Linked DNA regions of Coturnix japonica. The protein of the gene in region 1 binds, or shares a complex with, the protein of each later gene. Links are inferred from orthologs where the notes say so. Each region holds a gene or a part of one and is shown on either strand. Other genes may lie near its edges.

Region 1 (3,870 bases):
AAAGACCAATTGTCTGTTGCGGCATTTCTGTCTGCAAAGCTGTATCCATCTGGCTTTAGGTATAATCAAGGATACCCTGCTACAGTCAATGCATTTCTCTGTACACCAGCTGCATGTTGTGGATGTTCTGTAGGAATCAGGGTCTGAATGCCCCTGGCTTTTACAGCTGGGCCAAGATTTTCTTGACCAGGGTACCATTTCACTTCCCGCTTACAGATTCTTACATCTCCAAAGTTTTGCCTGCTGTCATAAGATGGTTGTTGGTGCTACTTATAAGAGATAGTACACTGCGCAAGACGGGTGATCATAGTTACCACCAGTAATGTTAACGTGCTGTAGTTAATGCTGCATTTTAACACACTCATTACTGTTGCTCTAGGTCAGAGGTCCAGCTTAAAGTACTGGTATGAGAAGGAGTGGCTGAGTAATGGCCACATGCATGGCTTAGCGTTCTTGGAAGAAAATTACTCCCACCAGAATGCCAAGAAGATAGTAGCCACTCACCAGCTTCTTGGCGATGTACAGAGAGTGATAGAAGTACTGCATGGACTGCAGCTGAAGATGAGCATACTGAAGTAAGCAGTGTTTAAGTATCAGTTGACGTGTTCTCAACGTGAATTAGATTTCAACTAGTAGAAAAATAACAAGAAATTCAGACTGACTTTTTATGTTTCTCTGCAGATGTACGCCACCGTAGTTTGAATTGCTAATGTTGTCTTGGATAAGTGTGGTGGGGAGTGTAAACTGACAGTGTGAAGAAGAGCTGGGAAAATAAGAAGAAAAAACTAACAGCAGCTTTTCCTAAAGCAGTGAAATAGAGCAGTAGCAAATGGAGCATGGTGCATAACCATGGCAATGTTCTTATAGCACTTACTTTCTCTATCCAGTAATTTTTGAGTCAAAATCATGTCTCTTCTTTTAGCGTAATTTGTTGCCCTGTAGAGGAAGAGTGGTTGGACCTTCAGCAACCTGCAGTGTATCAGTTTTGTGCAAACATAGTATGCTAAGAACAAAACAAAACACAGCACCAACGTTGTTCCTAGTCCTTGTAGAAATCAATAGTTTTCTGTTTGAAGTCACCCTTGGTTCTGACTGAAGGTTTTTTTCCTAATCCACATCTAGCATTTTCTAATTGATTGAATACAGTTCATGATTTATTCATTGATAATTTGCTCAACAGCAGCTATTTAGAAAACAAAGCTTAGAGTGTTTCCAGTTCTTTGGTTTTTTTTTGTTTTTTTTCCTTAAGTTTAATCTGTGGTGTTGCAGTAATGCCACTGGCAGTGTTTGGAAATTAAGAAGGTGCCACTTGTAAGGTGATGCCTTGCTTTTCTGCTGAGGTGTCCTTAAGTCAGATCTGGAAGTACCTTTGTCTCAGGTGACTGGAACGTAAATATGTTCCATCTTGTGCAAAGGATCCCTTGCTGCTTTGCTCCACAGGGAGCACCTTTAGGTGTAGAATGTCTGGAGCTGGAGCAGAAAGTTCTGGTGAGAGAGCACCAGAGCATTCAGGTGCATTCAGGATACCTCACCAAGGGTGTGACAACAAACAAATGTTGTTTGCTATAGTATGTAATAATCTAATAGTTACAGTTGTCCCTGCTGCTGGAATGAATAGTGCTCAAGCTCTCCCAGTAATCCCAAGGGGCTTTAAAGGGAAGCTAGATGTGAAGGAACTAATGAAGCACTACTACACCCACCCCAAGGCTGCCATTGTTGTCATTAGAGGGTTGGACAAAATCAGTGGATTGAATTCTGAAGGTTATCTGGGGAAACTGCAGACAAAAATCTTTAAGTGAGCGACTGGGGGGGTCAGCTTGCTTTGCTGGTGTGGGAATACACCTTGTTAGTGGATATATTGTAATTCCAGCATACTTAACCTACCTGTTTAAAATACAATTAAAACCGTCCCTGTGAAAATGGGTTAATGCTGTTGTCAAATTACAGATAAGAAGACAAATCTCAGCCTTTGAGGGCAACATTGGTGAAGTTTTATATTCACATTTTTGAAGCTTATTCTTCATCTTTTCCTTTGTGCCAACACTTGGTTCATGTTAGAGAAGTGAAAGTAATGAACCTGATAGAGCACTGTAGGATGCTGCATGTTGGGTTCAGGGGAAATATTTCAACGTGTTTGTGTGTGTTTGGTGATACTGATGACCAAAGTATGTAGTATTGAAAATGTTCTTGCTTGGTTTCTTTACATGGTAGTACAGCCTACGGTCATTTTAAGCTTAAATTTGGTGGATGACTGACTTCTTTTATGTTTGAACAGAAATAAAGAACATCCTGACCTAAAGCTCTGGTGCCATCCATGGAAACACATTACAGTGGATGAAAAAATCCATACAAAACACATCATTCACATTGAAGAAAACTGTTGCAAAGAGGAGACGACGAGTTATAGAACTTGGAACGGGACAGCTGAGAAACCCTCAGCCATTCCTTCTGTGGAGGAATCTTACATCACGAGTGAACACTGTTACCAGAAACCTCGGGCCTACTACCCTGCTATCGAGCAGAGGTTGGTGGTGGAAACGAGAAGCTCAGCCATGGATGAGGGTGTAAATAGAATAAGGGAGAACGGGGATGACGTCCTGTCGGAGAGGCTCGGGTGGAATCTGGATCGAGAGATATGTAAAATGGAAAATGAATCCAAACACAATTACTCCAAGGTATTTATATTAAAATAAACTCTCTGCAGAGAGAATGCGTTTGTCTGGCAAAGTGCAGAACTCATTAGCCCCTGTAATGGCATTTAATTTATGTATTTATTTTTTTTCCTGTCGTGATGCTGAATTTAGGTTGCTGGTGCACATTTAAGTAATAGATGTGAACATCTCCACCATTTCATCCCAATAGTCAACTTCTGGGTTTTAAATCATCTGTACTCTCCATGCACTGTGCTCTGCCAGTGCGTTGTTGCTCCTTGCTTGCCTGCTTTAGACAGTACAGACAAATGCTAGGGAGAGAGCAGGGCAAGCACATGTGATACTCTCAAATACTGCTATTGCAGCTTTTGGTATTGCCAGCTTTTCTCGCATTTGTTAAATAGCAACATTAAATTGATTCCACATTCTTCAGGCAACATGTAGATAAGTAACCTGAAGTGATGGTTAGGTATAGTCATTGCTAAATAGTTCAGTTCTTTTCCCACTGACGCACTCCAGTTTTCTGCTTCTAACGATCAGTTCTCAGTTCCAGCTCCATCAGGTCCAGCAAGCTTGTATCAGAGGCCTCTCTACATTGCAGTGTGCAGATTGGCTTCTCTTAGGTGCTGTCAGGTCACGAAGTATGGTCTGACAAATGGAAGGCCTCGGGGGAAGTACTGACTGACCTCCCTGTTTCTTGGATGGGAATTCAGTTTAGCTTTTATTTTATTTCCAAAGAACATGTAAATCGTGTTCTTCCTCATTTCTCTGCCAAATCCATTGGGATGGCTTTTTGTTTCCCACAAAGATGTGTTTCAGTGTTTTGATCTCTTAGGAGTCTTTCTCTAAATCCTGTCACATTTCAGAAAAATGATGGAAGAAAGCACAGCTGCCACAGTGCAGTCAGGTTTGATAAGTTGTCTGGGTGCTTTGATGGAAGTTACAGGAGAATTGGGAATAGATTCCTTCAGGAAGAGCCCCTCCTTGCTGTAGCACAGCTTGCTCTTTGCTTGGGTTCTGTTGTTTAAAGGAATTTGTGGTGTTCTCCTGGACACACAGATTTAGTGCAGTGTCTTCCAGCAGGAAGTTATCTGTATCTGTGGGTGTCAGATACAGCTCAGTGTTACCTTCCCAGAATAAGGTGCTGGAGAAGAAGGTACAGGGAGGTCTGCTAAGACCTCACAGCTGTGAGGGTCTGTTGTGATCTGCTTTTGCCCAA
Region 2 (2,956 bases), on another chromosome or scaffold:
TTGGAAGAGCTGACAATAGGATCTGCTCAAAGGCAGCAGGATGAGGAAGTGAGCAGAGATGTCAGAAATGTGGCTGCTGTCAGGGTGGGGAGCATGGACCTCCCCCAGCACCACAGAGATCCACAATGAGTCTTGGGCAGCAAACACAACTTGGTGCCCCCCATCCCTCCAGGGAAGAGGGTGTTGAGGGCTCAGGGTACGGCAGAGCCACAACAACATGCAGAGCATTGAGATTAACCCCAGCAGTAATAGAAATACAAACAGCAAATCACAGCTCTCAGCTCCAGCCTGTGAAAGCAACCCCAGTGACAGACCTGGTCCTGAGCCCTGGAACACACGGATCCTGGAAAACTACCTTTAATGCTGCCAACGTCAGCTTTATCTCATCCCCTTGGGACTCCATTTGGGGGCTGCTTCCCCCATTTCAGGCTGGTTGTTGACGACACTTTATGCTCTGTGATACACAACTATAAAGGTTAAATCCTGCTCTGCACCCTCAGAGCTTTATCAACAAGTTCAAATCTTCTCAGAAGCAGAAAACCAAAGGGATGTTCCAATGGAACAGCTTCTCTCATTGCTGCTCCCAGGACCCACAGCGCAATGTTGCTTTGTCTGTCCGTGCACTCAAGGCGAGAGAAATCAGACCAACAAAGCTGGGCTCATTCAAACACTCAGAGCATCTAAGAAACCCAATTCAAACACTCAGAGCATCTAAGAAACCCAATTCAAACACTCAGAGCATCTAAGAAGCCCCCAGTGCAGCTGCTGAAAGAGCAGCTTTTAGGAGAGCCAGGTATGATGAAGCCAGTGAATATATTTATATATATATATATATATAAAAGATTTATTAAACAGCTCAACAAAACCAGAAAACACCCCCTCAGTTTGCTAGAGCCCAAATCAGCCCCATCAGCACAGGGCTGCCCTCCCCCCTCCCACCCCACAGCCATGCTGAGGGTCCCCCAGGTCCCTATGGCTTCTGGCCCAGCGCAGGCCCTGCTGTAGTGATGACAGAGGAGCTGCTCAGCGTTAGGAGGGCAGCCCCAGTCCCTCCTGGCAGCAAGTGTCTGTTTGTCAGGGTCTCTCTGGCATGGAGGAGGGTGCTTCCATCATCCACCACAGAGGGGACCCTCCCCAAGGTCTCCATCGCCCCCAACGTGTGGCTGAGGGTTGAGGTGCTCCTGGTCAGACTGACCTTGTCCCCAATGGACCCGTCGGCTTTCATGGTGGCCAGTGTTGAGGTGAGGATGACGGCTTTGGAAGCAGGCTGCAGGATGGGTCCCACTTTGGAGTGCACCAGGCTGCTGGGAGGACTGGGAGCGCCAGCCAACGGGGGGGAGGCAAAGGTGACGGGGCCAGCAGGAGAGCTGGCAGAGGAGGAGGAAGGTTGGATGCCTGGCAGTTTGAGGGGGACTGAGGTAGCCTCATCCATCACAGACTTGGTCAGAGCAGACAGCTTGGCATCTGACATGACGTACAGGGTCTTCATGGGGCTGGCTGTGGTCACTGCAGAGAAGGGAAGGACATGGTCAGCAGTCATGGGGGCAGGGGGCCCACCCTGGGCTGCAGCCCTGGGAGCAAAGTGGAAGGGCTTCAGGCTGTACTTTTGGAAACCCCTCTGCCCCATTTTGCCTTCAGAGTGACTGCAAAACAAACTCCAGCACTGTCATGGGCTGGGCAGAGCATGGCAAGGGGACCCCAAACCTGCCAGCTCCCTTTGTAGACCCCTCAGATCAGTCCAGGAATCCTCTCCCCAGGATGGTCCCTTCCCACAGGGCCAGGACTCTGGTCTCTTCCTTGCCACGTAATCTCCATCCCACTCTCCAGGCTCTCACACAGCTCAGGCATCCCCAGCTCTGTCCCACCAGCAGTGAAGGCTTCTGCAGGTGCTCAGATGCTCGTCACGCTCCACCCCAACAGCAGCAAGAAGCCATCAGTGAAGCCCTTTGTGCTCTAAGGCAACAGCAGAGTTTGCATGTGATGGCTCCTTCATCTAAGCCTGCTCCTCCAGGAACCACAGCCCATGGGAAGGAGACTTTACTGAAACCCAATCACCAGGGTTAGATGTGCTCAATACACTGGGAAAGGCTTGTAGACCTGCTGCTGATTCAAGATCCTAACCTGGAACAGCCCATGGTTCACCCCAGCTGGTAACATCAGGTTACCATCAGGGGTGAGAGTCACCAGCAGCACAGAGCCAACCTCTCCAAAAGAGAACACCAGGCTCAAAGACAGAGAACACAGAGCAAAGGCTGAGGAGCAGCCAACTAACAGAGCTGGGACATCCCACCATCCCTGAGGGGACAGAGAGGCCAGAACAGCAGGAACAGGAGACTGAGCACTCCAAACAGGGCGAGGAAGCAGCACAGTGAGATGGAGATGCTGGCAGGCATCTGAAACAACCATGAAACAGAGCTTGGAGAAAACACATCAACACCCCAGTTCATGCTGCTGCTCTATAGCAGCTTCACTACAAACTGGTCCACCCGCTGAACGAAGAGCCAACCTCAACCTCCAGAAGTTACCCACTTATCACAAGTAGCAAGGACACAGAAAACAAAACACAGGAGAAGAATTAAACCCAGCACTTCTGTGACTCCCTGCTGAGTCCTGGGGGAAAAACAGCAGGGAGTCGTGGGGGGGTCAGCGCTGATTAGAGTTACAGCTGGGTCTGATGCCTGCAAGGAAAGCCAGCAGCACAGTGAAGGATCCCACACATCAACACCACCCGGAGCTGCTGTGTTTGCCCTCTGGGAAGCTGGCACAGCTTCTTCATTCCACCAGATCTGGTTTGTGTCCCACAGACCTGCTCATCTTCCCAACAGAGCAGCAAAGCAGCTGGGCAGAGGGAAACGGAAGCACAGGGTTGGCAGGAGGGGGCTCTTTTGTACAGGATTCTATTTCATTTGTAAGTCTGAGGCTGTGAGCTGCTGGGTAGTGGCTCTGCAATATTTAT
Region 3 (3,870 bases), on another chromosome or scaffold:
GGGATGGCAGCCCTGCTGGCAGCCTTGGCAGCTGAGATGGGAATCCATCCCCAGTCATTCCAGAGGCTGGAAAGCCCCAGGACGGGCAAACAGGGCTGCAGGCTGCAGTCACTGTCAGGGGAACTTGATGCTGAGCAAGAAGCCAGAGCAGCCGTGTTTAGAAGACCCTGGTGCTAAAGCTCTCACTGAGCCCCATCCATGTGGGCAGCAAAGTGTGAGAGCAGTTGTTCAACCACTGACAGCCTGCACAGACTGATCCCAAAGGGGAGGGAGGGCTCAGAGAGGGCCCTGAGGGGAAAACAGCCTCCGCTCTTTGCTCATCTCCTGCCTCTTCCTGGAAATACATTCCACCGTCAGCAGCTGACACATCTGGGGAAGGATGGGCCAGGCTGAAAGGAGGCAGAAACACAAAGACAAAAGGCAAACAAACTGTGCTGCCCTTGTGATGGTCACAGCCACGGTGCAGAGCATCCAAGGACCGGCAGATGGCAACCGCGCCGAGCTCAGCACGGCTCACATCCTTCCACCAAGGTTATTACATCATCCCCAAACTCCCAGCTACAAATCACACCGAGCAGAAAAAGGAGAAGAGAGAAGGGACAGAGAACTTCAGAAGATGTTAAAGCTCCGCCGTGCACTCCACGCTGCTGCACCAAGTCTGTGCAGAGCTGGATTTACATCTGTGAGCACAAGGCTTTGACCCGACCCAAGCACGAGCAGCAGAACATCACCTTCCCCCCAGGAGCCATCCCCTTCCACTGGGAGACCTCTGCCCTGGCCTGCTGACAGCTCAGCTCTCCTGCAAGAGTGCCCACTCAGATCATCTGCACCTCGCTGTGGTCAGAGGGAAACGATGATGGGTGGAGAGCAGTACATGCAGCCAATAGGTTTTAGTCAGAGCAGCAGCAGCCTAATGGGAACGTCCCTTCCTCCTGTACCCTCTGACCCACTCGAGATCGTGGACAACTCCATACAAGGTCAAAGAAACATCCTGCAGCTTCCACCAATCCACAAGTGGTTTCATGCAGGTAAATAAGCTCTGCTGAGGTCTGTGACCACCAGTCACCATGCTCTGATGTTTGGATGGTGATGGAGTTGGATGCAAGGATCCTTATGGTCCCGTCCAACTCAGATTATGCTATTTATGACACCAGCACAGGACCCAGCACAGACTCTCAGGCCCCAGCCAACACTCTCTCTTCTGCTGCAGCAAATGCTCAGCTCCTAAAAGCACGTGCAGATGAAGAGCATGGTTTTAATTGCATCCATCACACCAGCACCTCCTCAGGGTGAAGGCTGCACAGCTCCTCAAGCCCCAGACACTCCCTGGTGTCCCATGTCAGCACCCAGCCCGACCCCCCAACCCCCTCCCCACAGCCCTGCTTTGCTGTGCTCACCATCAGGGAAGGACAGAACGGGATGGATGCAGGAGTCCAGCTGCGAGAGGCGCTCCAGCAGCGGCGCATCGTACTGCATCTCCAGCGCCGCGGAGCTGCGGGCACCACACAGAGCACACGAGGGGTTCACATCACAGCTGCACCGTGCCAGGCTGTTCCGGTGGACCTGGAGAAGGCCACAGAGAAGTTCAGCATCCCACAGGGCTCTCTTTGCATGCTGCCCTTTGATAGATCATCAAATAAACCCTGATCTTATAACACCCTGCAGCAAACCTGTTGATTCAGTCTGGACCTTACATCAACACAGCCGAGAACGACTGCTTGCCTGCACACAGCATCCCCTAGACTTGATTAAAAGTGTTTATCTGGGTTGAAAACCTCATTTACAAAACCATGAGACAGCACAATTCTGTTGTCAGGGAGGAAAAACACCTTCTAGTTCAGACAAGACAGGGAACCACCAGCCAAGAGCTGACACCTACAGCGAGTGAGAAGGTTTTCAGTCTTGGTCTCTAAACCAGGAGGGACTTTCAGTTCACAGACTTTATATAAACCTCCTCTGTATAAAAAACCATCGTGGTGCAGATGCACAACTGGATGTAAAACAGGCAGAGCCAGCAACCGATGAACCCCCCACTGAAATGGAAGGATCCATCGAATCAGATCCTGTGAAGTCTGTTGAGTCTGGTATTATTCAGATAATTTCCACTAATGACTCGAATGATGGAAGAGATAATATCCTTAAGCCTTAGCAAATAACAGTACAACTGGGAAGGGCTGCAAGCAGCTTGGAGGAGAGAGCTGGAATGAGAGAAGTGATGGAAAATGAACCAAATCCTGCTCAATGAGGGTAAAAGCACAGAAATACCCCCAGCGAACTGATTATTCCCACTTTTCAGCCAACTCAGCTGGCCCAGAATCTGTTTTGCTCAGCAGAATGTTTCTTTCTGAGCTCCTTTAAACCCTATCCCCCACAGAGCGAGAAACCCTGAAACTTTGTGGTAATTAAGTTTGACTTGAAACACTTGTGACTCAAACACAACTAAGTGGATTTGTGCCATCCATAGTTCTGCAATCCTAAGAAAAAAACAAAACCCCGTCCTTATTCTATTTCGAAGCATCTGTTCTCCAACTGACAGCTCGTGGCACTCCTGAAGGAAGTTAAGAAGGATGGAGCATGGTTTGTCCTCACATAGGATGCTCAGGGAATAAACAGAGCTGAATTCTGCATGTGGGAAAGGGACGGTGGGGAGGAGCAGAAAATAATGTATTAATAATGGGTCTGTGTTAATTCCTGTATTCAGTATCTGTGTTTCCCATACCTGCTTCACTCAGCTGCTCCCATTTTAGCAGGCTGAACCCCCTGTCCTGAAGCTTACCTTAGGATGGGTGGGTTATGAAAAGAACCCTCCCCTCTGTCAGAATCCAGTACTGATGACAGCTAACAGAAACCTGCAGCAAACCAAAAGCTTCTTCATTTCTCCTTTACTTCTCCCACAGCCCCTGGGCTGCTCTTCCTCCCCTCTCTGTAACCACAAACACTCCCAAAGAGCGGAGATGTCTTTGTGCAAAGCAGAGCAGACCAACCCATGGGGTGTGGGAGCTCCTTTGGTGCACAGCTGGTGCTACGTAGAGCAGAAAAAGAGAGTAAAGCACAAAGGAGCAGCACTCACCTTTTTGGACAGGGGCATAATGCTGCTGGGTCGAACCAGCCGTCGCTTCTTGCAGCTCAGCACCGGGCGCGTGCGGGCGGCCACACACGTCCCATCTGAAGCTGAAGAGACCACATTCAGCCGCTGCTTTTTATGCAAGAGCTCCTCAGCTTCCTGGCCATCTCCCTGAGCGTGTTCTGCCAGGCCAGGCTGAAGACTGGAGAGAACAACAAGGAGCAGAGCGTTATTCCTCTATCACTCACAGACACGGTCACACTTAAAGAGACATAAACTTCTGATCAACACTTGGGAACCATCCCTCCAATAGCCCTCAGCAACAAGTGCAATGTTCACCTTCCTGTTCCACACACCAAAGAGGTTCCTGCCCACATGCAGCATCCTTGCCCTGCTGTGGCACTGATGCATGATGCCACCTACTAAACACCAGCAGAGCTCCGCACCCACACAGCCTTTCCATGCCTATTTTATGAGTGTTTCACATCTAAAAATGCAAAACGTTCGAGCCCTGTGGCCTGATGCCCCATAGCTGACAGGCTGCAGGCACACAGAGGGCTGTACCACGGCCTGCAGTGCTCCAGCTGTAGCCATGAGCAGGTCCATGGGTATTTCTATGTGCTCACATTGCAGCATCCTGCCCAAGGTGTTTCTGCAGCCACTGCCAGAACCTCCACAAGCAGCACAAGGTTCAAACCCTGACACCATCCTCCAGCACTGGAGAACTGCTTTTGCTAGTTTGCATTCCTGCCCTTTTGAGACCTTCTTAGCAAAAGCAACCTGAAGAAACAACGCAGACAGAACCT

What was found. The genes of interacting proteins can lie anywhere in the genome.
Region 2: PHF20 (region 1) and KANSL3 share a complex: the UniProt entries of both Homo sapiens proteins name them as parts of the NSL complex. The link is inferred for Coturnix japonica from reciprocal best matches to the Homo sapiens genes PHF20 and KANSL3.
Region 3: PHF20 (region 1) and KANSL1 share a complex: the UniProt entries of both Homo sapiens proteins name them as parts of the NSL complex. The link is inferred for Coturnix japonica from reciprocal best matches to the Homo sapiens genes PHF20 and KANSL1.

What each region holds. Positions count from the first base shown.
Region 1 is NC_029535.1:781,474-785,343, reverse strand, and holds part of PHF20 (PHD finger protein 20), read left to right. Parts: intron 1-379; coding exon 380-575; intron 576-2,275; coding exon 2,276-2,675; intron 2,676-3,870. UniProt on the Homo sapiens protein: Methyllysine-binding protein, component of the MOF histone acetyltransferase protein complex.
Region 2 is NC_029537.1:1,133,492-1,136,447, reverse strand, and holds the end of KANSL3 (KAT8 regulatory NSL complex subunit 3), read right to left. Parts: intron 1,507-2,956; coding exon 971-1,506; 3' UTR 825-970; downstream 1-824. UniProt on the Homo sapiens protein: Non-catalytic component of the NSL histone acetyltransferase complex, a multiprotein complex that mediates histone H4 acetylation at 'Lys-5'- and 'Lys-8' (H4K5ac and H4K8ac) at transcription start sites and promotes transcription initiation.
Region 3 is NC_029542.1:2,357,127-2,360,996, reverse strand, and holds part of KANSL1 (KAT8 regulatory NSL complex subunit 1), read right to left. Parts: intron 3,267-3,870; coding exon 3,071-3,266; intron 1,564-3,070; coding exon 1,398-1,563; intron 1-1,397. UniProt on the Homo sapiens protein: Non-catalytic component of the NSL histone acetyltransferase complex, a multiprotein complex that mediates histone H4 acetylation at 'Lys-5'- and 'Lys-8' (H4K5ac and H4K8ac) at transcription start sites and promotes transcription initiation.